4 linked regions of the Ovis aries genome follow. The protein of the gene in region 1 interacts with the protein of each later gene in a biochemical or structural test. Links are inferred from orthologs where the notes say so. Each region holds a gene or a part of one and is shown in the gene's direction. Other genes may lie near its edges. The genes, in order: PAFAH1B1, NUDC, NDEL1 and DCX.

Region 1 (4,823 bases):
TGCAGAATGAGGATGGATATTTTTCAGTATTCAAATGTTTTCACTATAATGTTTTGTATAGTAATGAAAAACATTGCGTTTTGTTTAGAAAATAATAGGAATTACTTCTAAAAGAATGCTTGCTAGTAACTTTTTAATGGCATGGAAAAATTCTTATGATAAGACACAGAGGGAAAAACAGGTTAATGATGTATACACAGGTACTGTACTTTTTTTAAAAAAGAGCATAGAAAAAATGGAAAAATCATGCCATTGGTAGGATAGTGAATATTTTTATTGCCTTTATATCAGTACATTATAGATTTTTTAATCATGAGCATTTATTTTATAATCATACAAAAGGTAAATACCCAGTAGAGAAAAAATTGATTATCTTTAATTCCTAACATTTATAAACATTACATTACCATGTTTGCTTACCATTTATGAAGAGACACGGTTCTGGGTATATTTATTAATAGTTTAGAGGAAGATGCTTCAGTGTTCTTTAATGAATGCAGGAAACAAAGTTAACTGAAATGGAAGTGAACTTCAAGGTCATACCTACCGTTCAGAATGTATTCACCTGAACTCTTGGTGTTGAAACAATTAGATATCAAAATGGGTAAAGATAATATTTAAAAAAACCCCTATAGACTGATACAATAACATTCATGAACATAAATGCAAAATCCTTAACAAATTATAAGCAAATTGAATCCAGCAGTTCATAAAAGGAGTAATTAGTATGTCATAACCAAGTAGGGTTCATCCCAAAATGCAGGATTGGTTGATATTTAAAAATTAATTAGTGTGATATACCATATCAGTTAAAAAAGCGTAATAGTTTCAGGAAAAGCATGATAAGAACTCAACAAGCTAGGGAGGGAGCTTCCATAGACTGGTAAAAGGTAAAGGTATCTGGTAAACCCACAGTGGACAAAATATTAATACTTAACGGTGGAAAGCAGTTCTTCCCCCTCGAGTTCAGGGATCAATGACCACTTAAATCCACGTTTGTATTAGAGTGGCTAGCCAATGCAGTAGAGAAGAAATAAAAGGCATACAGATTGGAAAGGAAGAACTATTACCTGCAAATGTTACTTACAGATAACATGATTTTCTGTGTAGAAAATCCCAAGGATTCTTCAGAAATTTGCTAGAACTATGACTGAATTTAAACAGAATGCCAAGATACAAGGTCAATATATAAAAAGTAATTATTTCTATAAACTATAATAATTGAAAATTAAAATTCTAAAATGCTATGATAACATCAAAAAACCCCCCAGTATAGTTAAGAATACATTAAAGAAAAAAAATACATTAACTGTGAAAAAAGCTAAACATACGGTAATCACTTCAGTGTGGAAGTAGTTGAACATTTAAATGGTAAAATTTTTATATGTTTGTTTTGGGGAGCATACATAAATTTTCCATAAAAGAAATGTTTTTAGAGGATATTTTTGTATTTTTTTGCATAGTTGTATAATTTTGTGGGTTTTTTTATGTAACATTGTATACATGCCATAGATTCCTTATATCTATGTGGCAATTTCCCTACTATTGGATGTTTAAATTGTTTCTAGACTTCAAAATGCATTTTCTAAGTTTCTTTAAATTGTTTGAAATACACCCTATCACAGATATATTTTATTATGGTAAGAATGGAATCAGCCATTTGATTTTAGAGCACGTACGTAATTAGTGTTAGTTACAGACTTAAGACTAGCATTTGACCACCAGAACAGAAGTTCAGTGTGTTCTTGAGATGTGTTTATAATAATAATTATTCTTGAGAGTTTATTATTTTCTTTAAAAATGCGACTGTGGCTCAGTGCTTTTACATCAAAATGACCATATGCTTCTGTTAATCTGCTATTTAAAGACAGTTACATCTTGTGAAGTCTTTCCTTGGCTTCTTAGATGTCTGAGCTCTGCTTGTCTAGTAGAATTGGGTATTCCTTCATCATTCCCCTAATATTCTACATATAAATTCACGTCAGGCTCATGAATTTTTTTTCTTTTTTTGGCACTTATATTTACTTTTTAACTTGTCTGTTGCCTGATGTCAGGCTGAGACGAGACTGTTCTGTGGCAGTCACTAGCATGATTAGATATATGGTGGATACTTAATGAATGTGGTTTTAGAGGTTTATTTAATAATCGTTTTTCTCTATAGAGAAAAGACCAATTTATGCTTGAAGATGTGATGATTCTAAGACAGCTATCCTTTGTTAGTTGCTCGGTTAGTCACTATAGCGCCAGACTGGCCTGTCGAGTGCAAATGTGAACTGAGAAAGGAATGATGTGATGCTAACCAATTTTCTGTTCACTTGACAGGTGTGGGATTATGAGACTGGAGATTTTGAACGAACTCTTAAGGGGCATACAGACTCTGTACAGGATATTTCATTCGACCACAGTGGCAAGCTTCTGGCTTCATGTTCTGCAGATATGACCATTAAGCTATGGGATTTTCAGGGCTTTGAATGCATCAGAACAATGCATGGTAAGGAGTGGAGGACAGCATTTTGATATTGGTCTCTAACATAGTATTGCAGGGAGAAGAAGGATAATGTTTTCTTACAGTGTGCAGGTTCCCTTCATTCGGTCCTTACTGTGCCAGTGTAGGAGCATATGATATAGACAGTCCATGGATAGGCATGGTCATTGAGAGTTGTCTCTTTGTTTCGAGGTTTAAGAATCTCTTTGTGCTTGCGTGCTCAGTCGCTTTAGTTATATCCGAGTCTTTGCGACCCTGTGGACTGGAGCCCACCAGGCTTCTCTGTCCATGGGATTTTCCGGCAAAAATACTGGAATAGGTTGCCATTTCCTTCTCCAGGGGATCTTCCCGAGCCAGAGTTTGAATCTGCGTCTCCTGTGTCTTCTGCATGGCAGGTGGATTCTTTACCACTGAGCCACTGGGGAAGTGTCTCTTAGTGGTTATAAAATACTTACTTTCACAAATATTTTTGGATGAGAAAAACTGCTAGGGCATCTATCTGTTCTTGAGAAAAAGAGAAAATGAAGTTACTGAGGTGGTTTTTCTTTCTGTTTTTCATTTTTCTCAATTGGGAAACTGAAGTTAGAGAGTAAATACAGTAAAAGCTGGAACCCAGGTTCCCTTGTTCACTTTTTAATATCCCACATACACTGTAGTCTCATTGTTATCTTCTCCTTGTCCTGGAGATTATTTTCTGAAGCAGTTTGGCTTTCTGGAAAGAGCGTGGGCTTTGAAATCAGATACCTGGATTCTGAGTCCTACTTGTTTACTTATGGCATTAGGAAATTTTAACCTCTTTAATCTGTAAGGTTAATAAAATTTAAATATTGAATTAAGAATTGAAGCCATAAGGCTTGTGAGGATAAAATGAGATTGTATGCTTGAATCATCTGGTTTAGTACCTGGTACATAGGAGGTGGTTCCTAAATAAGGATTTTTGTTTTTTAAAACATGATAAAATATGGATGTTTGGATTTTATATTAACTGTGTTAATAATAAACTGTTTTAAAATACATTATGCAGTGATGTTAGCACTTGAGAAAGCTATGCAATTACATAGATGGTGTAATTTGAATAATATGTCCCCCACTCCCCAATTTAAGTGCATTAGGGAAGTTTACCAGTTAAAGGAGTTTTATTGAATCCTTTTATAAAATCTGTATTTGTTTTGTTAGGTAGCCTGTGTCTTATTGCTCTGACTTAAAGAGTTCTTTCCAATCATTGTATATTCCTTTAAATGATGTGATACTTAAGAGAATTTTCTGGGGCTTTTTTGCCATAGGATAGCTAACTAGCATTATGAATAATATATTTTATTTTTTTTGCTCCTGTGCACATCAACACAAAAAGCTTTCAACCACTAGTTTCTACATAGAGCCAAATGCCCATTTTTCTGATCCATTCTATTCATCTCTGTAAATCGTATTTCTATTTTATATCTTAGAATAGCAACCATGGAAATTTTTGTTTTGTTTTGCTTTTTAGTGCTCAAAAACATCCGATGTGTTAATATATTCAAATGCTGATGGTACCGATTACCTGTGATTTTAACACATTATTGGCTGGGACGTATTTGCAGAAATGAACACCGTATGGCATTAATAGGTCTTCAGTTAATAACTTGTTAAAATAGTTGTGCAGGTTGAAATGTAAATTGAGCTGGCTACTTATTTCATTGTGAATTGTTTTATTAGTTACTAATTCCTTAACAGTCCCTTATGTTTTTGTGTAAATCCAAGTTTCTTATTAAATTTATATGAACTCCCTTGTATTTAAAGTAGCTGTGATACTTGAAATCCCTGATGAAATCTCATGGTAAATTAAGGTTTAATTGCTCTTGGTGATACATTGTTTAACATAGTAACTGTGTTTTGTGTTTTAGGCCATGACCACAATGTTTCTTCAGTAGCCATCATGCCCAATGGAGATCATATAGTGTCTGCCTCAAGGGATAAAACTATAAAAATGTGGGAAGTGCAAACTGGGTAAGTAGATTTAGTTGAAAAGGCATCAGCTTAAAGAAATAATATTCAACAAAAAATCCAAAACTGTGTTCTGATTGTTCTTGTAAATTTGGTTGTAACCCAGAATGATTACCATGACAGTTACATTTTAAAACTTAAGTTTTAATCTTTAAATGTCTACCCAAAAGGAACAGAGAAATTATGGAAGAAACTCTATATCCTTGAGAGCCATTTTCTATGTAATGGCTTATTTTCTCTGTGGTCTTCTTTTAGGTGATCTCTCTGAGTTGAATTAAAATGTAAATAACATTTTTGCAGGTATGCCCAATTAGGCTTAATTTGGTTGTGCTTAGAATTACATGACTGTTATAAT
Region 2 (3,523 bases), on another chromosome or scaffold:
GCCTTTTCCTTTCCCTTAGGTTTTTGTTGTTGTTCTACCAGCTTATTCGTACCAGCCCATCTCCCTCCACCCTCATGCATGCATGCTCAGTCATGTAACCCCATGGACTGCAGCCCGCCAGGTTCCTCTGTCCATGGACTTTTCCAGGCAAGAATACGGGGGTGGGTTGCCATTTCCTTCTCCAGGTCCATTAGGTTTTTTTCTGGTTTTTATTTTGGGTCTGAATTTTTATTATGGGTCTTAGTTGCCATGTGCGGGATCTTCCTTGTGGCATGTGGGATCTTTAGTTGCAGCACATTGGACCTAGTTCCCTGACTAGGGATCGAACCTGGGCCCCCTGCCTTGGGAGTTCAGAGTCTTAACCACTGGACCCACCAGGGAAGTCCCTCCATTAGGTTTGTATCAATACAAGCATTCAGTTCAGCAAATACTTGAACACCTACTCATGCCAGAGACTGTTCTAAGTGCTGGAGGGAAAACAGTGAACCAGACGTAGAAAGCTATGCCCCTCTGGAAGCCCGCGTTCTCCCCTCTCAGAGAACTGGGATGCAGACCCCAGTAAGTGAACATGGGCTCTGTGAAGCGCCAGGGTCCAAGGAAAGAGTCCCATGGCATGTACTGCCTGGCCCAGCCTACCTGACCCCCTTGGCTGCCTCTCACTCACCCCTCTGTGCCCTTGCCCTTGCATTTCCTCCCACCTGGAATGTCCTTCCCTGCTTTTTAACGTGGTTCACGCGTGTCGTTTAAGGCCCAGCCCTGTGTGTCATCCGAACCTCTCCCTCCACCTGATGAGTATCTCCCTCTGTACTTTATTCTTTCCGTTATCATGCTGACTGTCTCCGTGTCTGTCTCCCCCAGCCACCGGGGAGGGCAGAGGTCTTGCCTCTCTGCCCCTAGGTCCCAGTTCAGGCCTTGTAAGTCCCTGATGCAGGATGTGGCTGGGAGAGAGTTTGGTTCTGGAAGAGCTGGGGGGTGGTCACCAGGGTCCAGAGTGAGCCACCACCCGTCCCCGGGTGGCCCTCCTCTTCCTCTCAGATTAACAAGATGGAGTGGTGGAGCCGCTTGGTATCCAGTGACCCCGAGATCAATACTAAGAAGATAAACCCCGAGAACTCCAAGGTGAGCCCAGGCTGCTTGGAGGAGCTGCGGTCGGGAGGTTTGGGGCCTGGGTGGCCCCAGGCCTTCACCCACCCTGTCACTGTCTGCCCCCAGCTGTCAGACCTGGACAGTGAGACCCGTAGCATGGTGGAGAAGATGATGTACGACCAGAGACAGAAGTCTATGGGGCTGCCTACCTCCGATGAGCAGAAGAAACAGGAGATTCTGAAGAAGTGAGCGATGCAGAGATGGGGGTTTGGGGGAGGTGTCTACGGCTGGGACCTGGGTGACAGTGGCAAGTGTTTACTGAGCAGAACACAGGAGCTGCCCCGCCCCTTCCAGGATGAGCCAGCCAAGTTTATGGCTTTATAGCCTTGGCTTGCCTCCCCTAATCACTTACTGAGGTCATCTTGAGGGCAAGGCCACCACAGGATAGGAAAGGGTAACAGGCGGTCACAGTTTCCAACAGAAAAAGCAGTGCCGGTGTTGGCACCTCAGCATCCAGCCTTGGGGAGACCTTGGGGGCCCCACTCCTGTCTGGCATGGCTCCGGGTTGCTGAGAGCTGTAAACAGATGAGACCTCATGTTGGAGGCTGAGAGAAAGGGACAAATTTAGGGAGACGGATGGCCTGTCTCACCTTCCTGCTTTGTCTCTGCAGGTTCATGGATCAGCATCCAGAGATGGACTTTTCCAAGGCCAGATTCAACTAGCCCCTGTGTTTGCTCCCCTGAACTCTCTAGGCTGAGCTCCCGGCTCCCCACTTTCCTCTCCCACCCTCCCTGGGACTGGTGGGCCACAGGGCCAGGGCAGGCACGGGGCTGGCTGGCACACACAGGTCCCAGGCCATCATGGGAGAAGGGCTGGGGCCTTGGGGGGGGGTCTTGTCCTCCTCAGCTGGCCTGCTGTTACACATTAAAACCATTTACCCAATTCCACTCACGTCTTCTCTTCCCTCTGGCCTTTCTCTGGGGTTCAGGCCTCTTAGGACTGCTGCTGTGACCTGGGGGCTTGACTGCTCACCCAGGCTCTGCTGTGTGATCTAGGGCAAGTCTTTGCCTCTCCCTGGGCTCAGTTTCTCATTACTTAAATAGAGGATCCCGACAAGGCTTTTAGTCTGTGTATGATTTTGAACAAAAGGGGTTGGTTATAGGCACCAAACAATGTCAGATTCTCCAAGGGGCCCATGACTCAGCAGCACTTAAGACCAGCCTGACTTGATTTCCATTTTCATCTCTGAGACAATTTCCCACTGCACTGGGTCTGTCCTTTAGTCCTGGAGCAAGTGTTTCTAAAACTATACACTACTTCCCAGAGGCAGAGAGCAAGCAGCAAAGCCTAGGGGCACCGCCTAGGCCTCAGATGGGCTTTGTGTGTGGTGGGGATCTGGCTGGGAAGGCAGGGGGAAGCCCAAAGGAGCCTGTTGTGTGTCTTTGACCTGGACCCTTGCAGATTTTAGGGCTTCTCAGGAGTGAGCCACTGAGGCTGGAGAGGTGTTCTCTTTTGCCCCAGTCCAGCCACCAGAGCTGACCCTTGCCCCGCTTTGGCAGGAAGTACAGGTCACAGTGCAGAGTGCCATAGAGGTTATGGTAACAAGACGAATGGGTTCACTTGCCCAGGGTGCTATGCCCTATGAGCCACGGGTGACTCCTGAATTTCTGGGACACAGCGTATGTGTCCTTTTGGCATCTCAGAATAGCTTGTTAAAGACTTCAGCTATGCAGTATTTGGCTTTGTCTGTTTATCAAACTTACCCCTTTTTCTGGGAATGCCAGTAGTGGTTCCCAAGGCTGAGCTTAGATAATGGGGCTCAAAAAAACTTTGGCCCCAGAGGCCCATTTTCTAAGCTCTCAGATTGCTTCTTGGCAGGAAAGCTGTGACAAACCTAGACAGTGTATTAAGGAGCAGAGGCATCGCTTTGCTGACAAAGGTCTGTATACTCAAGGCCACGTTCTTTCCAGTAGTCATGTATGGATGTGAGAGGGGCACCATAACAAAGGCAGAGAACCAAACTTAGGTGCTGGAAACAACCCTTGAGAGGTCCCTTGGAAAGCAAGGAGATCAAAACAGTCAATCTTAAGGGAAATCAACCCTGAATATTCTCTGGAAGGACTGATGCTGAAGCTGCAATACGATGGCCAGCTGATGTAAACAGCTGACTCACTGGAAAAGACCCTGATGCTGGGAAAGATTGAGGGCAGGAGGAGAAGGGGACAACATGGATGGTGTCACCGATGCAATGGACATGAACTTGGGCAAACTGGGAGATGGTGAGGGACAGTGAGGCCTGTCGTGCTGCAGTCCGGGGAGGCAAACAGTCGGACACACTGAACAACAATAAGGGCCAAGGCTAAGGTGGAGGGGCTGTAGCATGACTCTGCTCTGTCCAGTGATATCCCTGGGCTCCAGTGCCCCACAGTCATTTTC
Region 3 (5,284 bases), about 4.4 Mb from region 1:
AGTTGGCATTTTATTTGGATATTCTTCAGAAAATTCTATTACTAGTTTAAAAGTATCATCTTCAAAGAGTGTCCCTTCTGGTCCAAATATAATTGCATTGCACTGCAAGATGTTTTCAGATGGTGCGCTACTGACACCCACAGGTGAGTCCTTTTACCATCAGCTGAAATCCTGCATAAGCCTCCTGTAGGCTGGAGACACGGAGAAGGCGATGGCACCCCACTCCAGTACTCTTGCCTGGAAAATCCCATGGGCGGAGGAGCCTGGTAGGCTGCAGTCCATGGGGTTGCGAAGAGTTGGACACCACTGAGCGACTTCACTTTCACTTTTCACTTTCATGCATTGGAGAAGGAAATGGCAACCCACTCCAGTTGTTCTTGCTTGGAGAATCCCAGGGACGGGGGAGCCTGGTGGGCTGCCGTCTATGGGGTTGCACAGAGTCGGACACGACTGAAGTGACTTAGCAGCAGCAGCAGCAGCCCCAGGCTGGAGACAACATGATCCTGAGCTGCCCTGAGGTCAGTCTGAAACCTTCATAGCATCTTAAAAGTCCATGAACATTTATGGACTAACTTCCAGTGCTCTGGTAGATGCTCCTGGGAAAACAGAGACAAATCCATGCAGCCCTTACCCTCCCTGGGTGACCTTGGGGAGATAGACAGCTCCATGGGAAGGAATTATCGGTGAAGGGCCTCAGTCGTAGTTCTTAACCGTGGTGCTTCTCCGACATGGTGGGACCCAGTGACACATTTGACCTGCAGCCACTGTGGAGGCGAGAAGTGACTCCAGACCAGGGTGGCATGACCTGCCAAAGACTTAAGGAGTGGGTCAGATTTGGAGAGGCAGAAAGGAGGGGGGATGCCACCAACCACTGAAGGGAATAATGGGATGTATGTGAAGCCAATTACACACATTATCTCATTTAAGCCCAAACAATGCCATGAGGTCAGTACTGGTGTCACCTCCATTTCATTTTGCAAAGATGAGACACAGAGACACACAGCAACTCATTCAAGGTCTTGCCACCAAAAGTGGTAGGCGGAGGCTACTTCCCTCTGACTTCCCATTTTTTCTCTGAAGCCACAGGTGTGCTTTGCCAGGTTCTGGGCATCTCCTGTGTGCTCAGTTTCACAGACGTGTCTGACTCTTTTGCGATCCCATGGACTGTACCCCACCATGCTCCTCTGTTCATGGAATTTTCCAGGCAAGAATATATGGGTTGCCATACCCTCCTCCAAGGGATTGTCCCAACTCAGGGATTGAACCTGAGTCTCCTGTGTCTTCTGCACTGCAGGTGGATTCTTTACTGAGTGAGCCACTGGGGAAGCCCTACCTTTTATTTATTATTTTTGGCTACACTAGGTCTTTGTTGTGGCACATGGGCTTTCTCTAGCTGTGAGCAGGGGGTTACTCTCTTGTGGTCCATGCGCTTCTCTTTGCAGTGGCTTCTCTTGTTATGGAGCAAGGGCTCTAGGGCGCTAGTGCTTCAGCTCAGTAGTTGTGGAGCATGGGCTTAGTTGCTCTGGGGCATGTGGGATCTTGGTTTGCAGACCAGGGATCGAACCTAGGTTGGCAGGTGGATTCTTACCACTGAATCAACAGGGATCCTGCATCTCCTACCCTTAATGTGGGAAAGCTCTCCTCCTTGCTTTTCCCCTCTAATACAGGGCTGGAGACAGACAAAGGGGAAGCTTGAAGTTCTGGCTAAAGAGTTAGGGATTGAGTTTCTTTTTCTCCTTCCTCAACCCTGAAGTCTTGCTCAATAGCAGCTGAGCAGTGGGGCTGCAAGGTTGCTTCACTTCTAGAAGGCCGGCCGCAGCCTTCCTGGCCCAAACCCACTTCCGGTCTTCGTGCCTCTTTTGTCACAAGGTGATTCTCACACTTCCTGTTGATTTCCACTTTGTTTCAGCTGCTTCAGCTCCAGCCACTTTGTGCTGCTGTTGATCTGATCTGCGAGGCCTGGGACACAGGACCAGGTATGTTGGGATGGTGGGGACTGGGGGGTCAGCTTGGATAAGGTCTGGGCCAGATCAGGGCCAGAGTGGGGGGCTCCTGGTAGACCCTTTCTGTCCATTGTGGGGGACTGTCAGAGGCTGGGGTCAGTTTGTGAAGTTGGTTATGTCCCTGTGAGGGATGGTACCAGGGGTGGCTTCCTGAAACCAGATCATTTGACCTCTACCCCCCTAAAATCTCATCACCTTGATTTGGTTGTGTGTTACGTGAGCTGCCCAGGTAACATTTTTCTAGGCTGTAGAGCGAGCTTCATCTCTGGGAGATGGCTTCTCTGGGATTGACTTCGACACAGCTGGTGTGATGCTTGAAAGTTTGCTGAGCTGACCGAGTTGGGGCTTGTGATTAAGTCCTGGCTCCTTGTCTTACTGACGGGCAATTCACTGTCTTCTGAACCTTTCTGGTCTACACAGTTCAAAAATGTCTCTGTTTTTTGGGATGTTGGTGATGCTTAAGCAGGATGATGATTGTGAAAGTGTTTTGTAAACTGTAAGACGGCATTCTCAGGGTGTGAGGTTACTTTCATTTTCTAAATGGAACTAGATACCTTTTTTTCCTGATTGTGGTAACTGGTGAAAATATAAACAAAGAGAAAGGGAAAATTTTTACATAATTCCAGCCCCAGAGATTATTAGTGACACTGGTATATAAAGTTCTACTTAAAAAATTGAATTTTTAAAAAATTTGATAAAATATACTGATTCAACGGATACGAACATGGGCAAACTCTGGGAGATGGTAAGGGACAGGAAGTCTGGTGTGCTGCAGTCCATGGGGTCACAAAGAGTTGGACACAACTGAGTGACTGAACAAGAACAACAAAATATACATGAAATAAAAATTAGTTTTTAAGCATACAGCTTAGTGGCATTAAGTACATTCCCATTGACATGCACCCATCACCAAGATCCATCTCCAGATTTTTTTTCTTCTCCAAGTGAAACTGTGTACCCATTAAACAGTATCTCCCTAGTCTTCCCCACCCGTCTCTGGCAACTACCACTCTACTCTCTCTTGAATGGAACCATACAGTATTTGTCCTCTGATGGCTGGCTTATTTCACATAGTGTAATGTCTTCAAGGTTCATGCATGTTGTAGCAGGTGTCAAAATTGCCTTCCTTTTTTAAAGTGAAAGTGAAGTCGCTCAGTCGTGTCTGACTCTTTGCGACCCCATGGACTATATCCTACTATATCCTATCAGGCTCCTCTGTCCATGGAATTTTCCAGGCAAGAGTACTGGAGTGGGTTGCCATTTCCTTCTCCAGGGCATCTTCCTGACGCAGGGATTGAACCCGGGTCTCCCACACTGCAAGCAGACACTTTACCCTCTGAGCTGAAAAATATTGCATTGTCTATAGACACCACATTTTGTTTATATCATCTGCTGATGGACAGGATTGCTTCCACCTTTTGGTTATTGTAAATAATGCTGCTGTGAATACGAGTGTGCAGATGGCTACTTGAGTCCTTGCTTTTAATTCTTTTTCGTATTCACAAATGGATTTGCTGAATCATATGGTAATTCTGTGTTTACTTTTTTGAGGAACTTTCAGAATGTTTTCCATAGTGGCTGTACCATTTTGGATTCCTACCAGCAATGTACAAGGGTTCCAATCTCTCTACATCCTTACCAACACTTATTTTCTGGTGGTGGTTTTTTTCTTCCTCCCAGGGGGTGTGGTATCTCGTTGTAGTTTTGATTTGTGTTTCCCTGATGATTAGTGATGTAGAGCTCCTTTTCATGTACTTGTTAGCCATCTGTATACTTCTCTGGAGAAATACCTGTTCAAGTTCTTGGCCCATTTTTAAATCGAGTTGTTTGGTATTTTTGTTATTGAGTTGTAGTAGTGGTAGTTGTAGTAGTTCTTTATATATTTTGGAAATTAACTAGACTTCTAAAACAATATTTCTTGTGTCAAACTGTATTTACTGTTCTCTAACCATTTTTAAACTTGTTTATTTATTGGCTGTGCTGGGTCTTTGCTGCCTGTGGGCTTTTCTTTAGTTTCGGGAAGTGGGGGCTACTCTTCTTTGTGGTGCTTGGGATTCTCATTGCAGTGGCTTCTCTTGTTGCAGAGCATGGGCTGTAGGGCATATGGGCTTCAGCAGTTGTGGTGCGCGGGTTCAATAGTTAGTGGTTACCCGGCTCTAGAGCTTAGGCTCAATATTTGTTGCGGGCAGACTTAGTTGCTCTGCAGCATGTGAGATCTTTCCGGATCAGGGATTCAACCTGCGTCTCCTACACTGGCAGGCAGATTCTTTACCACTGAGCCACCAGAGAAGCCCTCTTTTTTTCACTTAGTATCACTTGAGTATCATCTCATGTTAATTTATAAAATCTTCCTTGTCCTTCCTAACAGCTGTGTAGTATTCCAGTGCTTGGATTATACTATGATTTATTAAATGAGTCTCCTGGGTGTTTAGGTTGTTTCCAGTTTTGGGCATAATGATAAAACAATGCTGCAGTAAACATCACTGAACATACGTCTTTGCATATTACTTCTATAATTTCCTTAGGATAAATCCTTAATAAGTTGAGTGCTGGGTAAAAGGTTATACATATATTCACAGTTTTAATTCATTTGTCCAGATTCCTCTAATAAATGTCATACCATTTGTTTTAAATTTCATATCCACTTTTATTAAGGCAATTACAAAGATTACATTGAAGAATAGCAATTCCTTGCCTCATCTCCCCTCTTCCCAGTTCTCCCTACCACACACATTTCCAACTATTTTAGTTGTTTCTATTTCTAAATAAAGTGCCTTTATGACTAGTTTTTTCTGTTTTAGTTATCATCTATTGACTTTGTATTATGAAAAGTAAGGACACAGCACTCTTACCTAATACATTATTGCTCCCCCATCTTCCTGATATGGTTAATCACATATTTGGTGAAATTAACATTCATATAATATCCTTATTTCTCTAAAGATATTTATTAACGTTCTTTCTCTTTCCAGCTTACTTCTGCTCCCAGTATTATATTCATTACTCCTAAATTTCTTTTGTGTTATTTTGCTATTTCACATTGGAGAGTGTTTGGTGGTTCCTAGTTGAATGTTTATTTTTATGACCAGGGAACTCAAAGCTGATTGGAGGCTGTGTATGTATGTGTATGGCAGGAGTTGGGAGCTTGTTGACTGTTGGACCTGTGTGTGTGTGTGTGTGTGTGTGTGTGTGTGTGTATGGGGGGAGTTGGGAGCTTGTTGACTGTTGGACCTCTCTGAGTGATCAAGTGGACAGGCCAGGTCATGTGGTTCTGTTGAGGA
Region 4 (4,823 bases), on another chromosome or scaffold:
CTTTGTGACTCAAGATTCCAGAAGATTGTGAATCTCAGGAAGGAGGTGAACATCTGCCCATCTCCCTTTACTTGAGTCCAAGCTCTGTGAGTAAGTTATTGGTGAATTAGCTCACACAGTCACAGAGTTAGGGGATGATCCTGACGGAAAAACACATTCAAAACGTATTTCCCAATCATGAGGAGAAAAGTATGGGGAAAATATCAAGTTGCACTAATACAGACTTTACAAACAGCTCAAGTGACAAGGACCCTGAAAGAGGTGGCATTTCTGCTGTGTTCCCTTTGAGAAGAGGCAGATGACCATATAATAGGTAAACAAATCCCAGACTGTCCAGTTTCTTGTATCTTGTATATCTCCAGCTCTGGACAGTGATCACTAAAGTTTGTCAATCAAAACAAGAAGTAAAAAAACAAAAAACAAAAATGAGCTTTCTGCTTAATTCAGTTTCCACCAAAGCTTAATATGCCAGAAAAGATCTCCTAATCTTTCAGAGAACCAATATTTTTGGTGTGTCTTTAAGTAGAAGGTGATGAGGTGGTGTCCAATGAAGAGATAACCCAGTGCCTAGCTGTTTGGTTCCACTTTGAGCATGATCACATGAGGTTGGAGAAAGATAGTGGAAAGAGCTCTAGACTGGGACTCAAGAAGCTTGACTGTGCATCCTTATTTGCTGTTTTCTTCCTTTGTGGCTCTAAGCAAGAGATTTAAGCTCTTTGCATTCTCATCAGCAAAATGATTATAATAATCCTCCTAACATACTAGCACCATCAGTGTCCCAAATTACCATGGTAGGGATGCTGAGTGACCTGCATAGAAAGGGTACTCCAAACATGTCAGACTGAGCTTGGGGGAGTAGCAGAAACATTTGGCAGACTCTCCTACACACCCAAGGCCTTTTTCTCTCTGTAAGTCATGAGTGGCATAGTCTCTACTGGTCCATTTATTCATTAAACCAGGAGAACGGATTATGATGAGATAGACTGACAATCATAAAGAACTCTATAAATGCAAGGTGGTGGTGGTGGTGGTAGTATTGCTTACTTATAAAATGACATGGCGTCCTTAATATGCCTATTGCAATAAATGACGTGATGAATAATAAATAGTGGCGCCTACCCCCTCCTTTAAATTATTCATGAATATTTCATCTGTGTGGCTGCAACCTCTGAGCTGTCAATCTCTTCTCCAAGGAAATCAATTTTGTCAACAGGTGCTGTTCTGAGCCATGACTAAGTTGTCCAAAAATGATTGACCATTGACTATTTAATTACCTGCTCGGACTACTTTTCAACTCCTGCCCTTGTTTCCATGATCCAGGAGTTGAAACATCTGGCTTAGCCCAGGTGCCTTTGAAAGTTTCTCCCTTGCCTCTCTCTCCAGAGCCATCATTCCTTCAAACATTGAGGACCACCTTGTAGTCCTGAGACATGAAGTGCTTTGGCATGAGGTGCTTATTCCAGTTTCCAGAAGTTGGTAATATGCTGAGTCTTGATTCTCCCCAGCTCTACTAAGCCATCTGTGTCCTTTTCCACCAGAATGCCGAGTCATGAAGGGAAACCCATCAGCCACAGCTGGCCCTAAGGCATCCCCAACACCTCAGAAGAGTTCAGCTAAGAGCCCTGGCCCCACGCGCCGGAGCAAGTCTCCAGCTGACTCAGGTAACGACCAAGACGGTGAGTGCTCTTCTCCTAACTGTGCACGCTGACTTCATTTATGGAGGGCAGTACCCTCTGCATGCAGAGGAATGAGTTCCTCATGAACACCACTGTGTCTCCGTGAGACCAATCCTATCCATTCAGAGACTAACCAGTTCAATTTGTTTGGCCTCATGGAGATACAGCTACAACCCCGATTCTACTCAGATGGGTACAGACCAGAAATCTGGCCCACTTTCCATGCTTGCTGTAATGCTGTTTGTTATGGTTCTCTTCATTGCCATTATTCTCAACGTCATCCAGCAAATGCATCGTCAGTGATATAATCAAGTCAAACATAAATTTGGAATAGAAAATCAGAATCAAAAACAAGAAGGTTAAAAAAAAAGAGCTACTTACCTCAAAGTGTCAACATGGTAGATGCCCTTGAGCTTTAAATGTAACTTTGAATTTTTTAGAAGTCAAAACAAAAAGGGAAACAAAATAAACTGCATCATTCTCACAGGAGTAAAGGACATATAGGTCAGGTTCCCAAAGGAAATAAAGAGACTTGATATATAGGATTTTATTTAGTGGATAGTTCATGATGTAAAAAATGTGATCTAGGGGTCTAGGGATCACTGCTGACGCATGAACTATTTATCAGTCTGTGAAGAGACTGGAGCTGGTGCCAAATGTAAATCATGCCACTGAGCAAACCATTTACTTCAGCCAGCTCTTTTTTCATAGTATGATTTTACTGATAAAGGCAGCAGTGTGTTGGTTTACATTCTGGTGCAAGGCCTTGCACCCACATTTTAAGTGGCACTGATCTAAAAAGCAAAAGGGCCACAGAAGTCCAAGTGTAGAAGCTCAGTAGACTCATGCACTGACAATTTGAATTCTTCATGTATAACAAATTCTATGATCCGGAAGACTTACACATTTATCCTCCCAAAGCTCAGGGTACACCATGAGAATTCTTCTAGCCAGAGAGCCTTGGGGCAGAGAACAAAAGCACTCCTTATCACATCTTCGATTTGAGGCAGCTTGAGCAACCTCTCTTGGCTTTGAAATGTCCGTGGCCTAGAAAAACAGCTGGTCCTGCTGGCCTCATCTTACCATGCCTATCACTGGGCATCTCTTTATTCTCAGGAAGAAGGAACCCAACTGTGAAGAGGCAACTCAGGCTTTTCATACCTTCATGTCTTTGCATACCCTGTTCTCCTGCACCTGGAATGCCATCCCTCAAACCCACCACTCTTCTTTGCTTGAAAACTATTAATCCTTCAATACCTCAAGTAGAAATAGTTGTTCCATTTTCCACAATATCATAGCATGTTGTTCATATCTCTGGGGTAATAGTCACAGCTGTGTTGTAAAGTATGTATTTGCTTGTATGTATTTACTTCCTCAACCAAATCCTGGGTCCCTCAAGGGCAAGGTGTCACGTTCATTTTTGTATTCTTAGTGCTGAGCACAGTACCTTTGTCCTAGTAGATGTTAACAGTGTTTGTAAAGCACAAGAGCACCTATTTCACCCTGCACAGTGCTAGAAACCCAGTAGACCTGTAGGTAATACTTGCTGAAGGAACTTTTAAAAATACAGCTGTTTTGTGATATTTTGGTTAAACATAATAGCACATGAAACTATGTAAGCAAATTCATATTGCTCAAACTACAAAGACTTAGATTTTAACACTTGGATTGAGAATGAAATTGTTTGTAAAGGTTCGAAGCAGGGCCTTGCAAAAAAATGTACTTGAAACACTTGATCAAGATTCATGAAGTCTGGGGACTTCCTTGGTGGCCAAGTGGTTAAGACTCTGCCCTTCCACTGCAGGGGGCACTGGTTCAATCCCTGGTCAGGAAACTAAGATCCCACATGCCGTGCAGTATAGCCAAATACATACATGAATAAAAATATTCATAAAACCTGGCAATAATCACTTAGCTAATCAATTTTTCAGAGTATCACTGGCTATTTCTGGGATTTTTAACCTGTATTACTTATTTCTTGCTATAAAACAAATCACCCTAAAACATACTAACAAACATTTATTATCTCACGTTTTTGGTGAGTCAGGAATTCTGGGGTGGTTTAGCCGGGTGGTTCAGGATCTTTCATGTAGTTGTCATGTGGTTGAGGTCAAGGTGTCAGGGGATGCAGTCATTTGAAGACACAACTGGGATGGTAGAATTAACTTCCAAGATGGCCACTGGCAGGATCTTCTTCCAGACAGTGATTCAAGAGAATGAAGAAGAAAGAAGATGTGGTTCCTTTTATGATCTGTTCTCCAAAGCCATATACTGTCACTTCTGTTTTAGCCTTTTTTTGGGAAGCAGTGACTAAGATCAGCCCACATTCAAGGAAGGGGTTGCAGCCTCCATTTCTGGAAGGGAAAGATATCTGAGAATTTGTGGGCCTGTTCTTAAGCCATCACATAATCCATTAGCTAGAAAGGCTGGGGTGGCAAAAGTTTGAAGTAAGTAGATTCTCTTTGCAGACTATCCAATTGGGTTACCCAGCACACATGAATACGACTACCTGTAATTAAACACAGTTTATACATACGTCAAATAATTGATCTCCAACATGCTACCTACAGAATTTCCCTTCTAAAATAGATGCGCCTCACTGAGTATAATGTGTTGGAGACAGAGAAGGAATGCATTTAGGACTCAATGAGCATGTATTAAATTGAGTTTTAATAGATCCCAACCTAGGCTTAAACAGGCAAGACCTATTTTTAGGTCTTGAACTCTTTCTTTCAAAAGTCCCTTGCTAAAGAGAAGGAATGAGGATGCACTCACACATACAAGATAAACAAAGTAACCAATTTGAGGTAGGAAAAATGGGACCTTACTTGGTATCAGAATTATTAACAGCCCTTGTTTCTTACCAGTAAAAAACAAACAAACAAACAAACAAAAACACCTAAAGTGGTATCCTCAGTAGAGACTATTTAAATCTTCATTTCAGATAGTTCATGAACATAAGTGAAGTCAAACTCTAATCTAGCCAGCCTTCATGTTCTGGCAATTTTCAGAACATTTGCACTCATCTTAGATGATGTGTTTAGGGCCTTCACATGATTTCAGCCCACAAAGGTAAAAGGGAGTTTAGGGTCAAGAGTAGGACATTCGCTCAGTGAACATTCCACAGGGATAAAGCCAATCTCAGGC

Evidence for each region.
Region 2: the proteins of PAFAH1B1 (region 1) and NUDC form a complex in vitro, tested with the Homo sapiens proteins (3 studies listed by BioGRID). The link is inferred for Ovis aries from reciprocal best matches to the Homo sapiens genes PAFAH1B1 and NUDC.
Region 3: the proteins of PAFAH1B1 (region 1) and NDEL1 form a complex in vitro, tested with the Homo sapiens proteins (3 studies listed by BioGRID). The link is inferred for Ovis aries from reciprocal best matches to the Homo sapiens genes PAFAH1B1 and NDEL1.
Region 4: the proteins of PAFAH1B1 (region 1) and DCX form a complex in vitro, tested with the Homo sapiens proteins (2 studies listed by BioGRID). The link is inferred for Ovis aries from reciprocal best matches to the Homo sapiens genes PAFAH1B1 and DCX.

What each region holds. Positions count from the first base shown.
Region 1 is NC_056064.1:23,448,503-23,453,325, forward strand, and holds part of PAFAH1B1 (platelet-activating factor acetylhydrolase IB subunit beta), read left to right. Parts: intron 1-2,322; coding exon 2,323-2,491; intron 2,492-4,368; coding exon 4,369-4,471; intron 4,472-4,823. UniProt on the Homo sapiens protein: Regulatory subunit (beta subunit) of the cytosolic type I platelet-activating factor (PAF) acetylhydrolase (PAF-AH (I)), an enzyme that catalyzes the hydrolyze of the acetyl group at the sn-2 position of PAF and its analogs and participates in PAF inactivation.
Region 2 is NC_056055.1:239,999,970-240,003,492, reverse strand, and holds the end of NUDC (nuclear migration protein nudC), read left to right. Parts: intron 1-1,035; coding exon 1,036-1,119; intron 1,120-1,212; coding exon 1,213-1,331; intron 1,332-1,757; coding exon 1,758-1,809; 3' UTR 1,810-2,034; downstream 2,035-3,523. UniProt on the Homo sapiens protein: Plays a role in neurogenesis and neuronal migration. Necessary for correct formation of mitotic spindles and chromosome separation during mitosis. Necessary for cytokinesis and cell proliferation.
Region 3 is NC_056064.1:27,823,984-27,829,267, forward strand, and holds the start of NDEL1 (nuclear distribution protein nudE-like 1), read left to right. Parts: upstream 1-1,885; 5' UTR 1,886-5,284. UniProt on the Homo sapiens protein: Required for organization of the cellular microtubule array and microtubule anchoring at the centrosome. May regulate microtubule organization at least in part by targeting the microtubule severing protein KATNA1 to the centrosome.
Region 4 is NC_056080.1:123,686,384-123,691,206, forward strand, and holds part of DCX (neuronal migration protein doublecortin), read left to right. Parts: intron 1-1,538; coding exon 1,539-1,661; coding exon of another isoform or gene 1,662-1,676; intron 1,677-4,823. UniProt on the Homo sapiens protein: Microtubule-associated protein required for initial steps of neuronal dispersion and cortex lamination during cerebral cortex development. May act by competing with the putative neuronal protein kinase DCLK1 in binding to a target protein.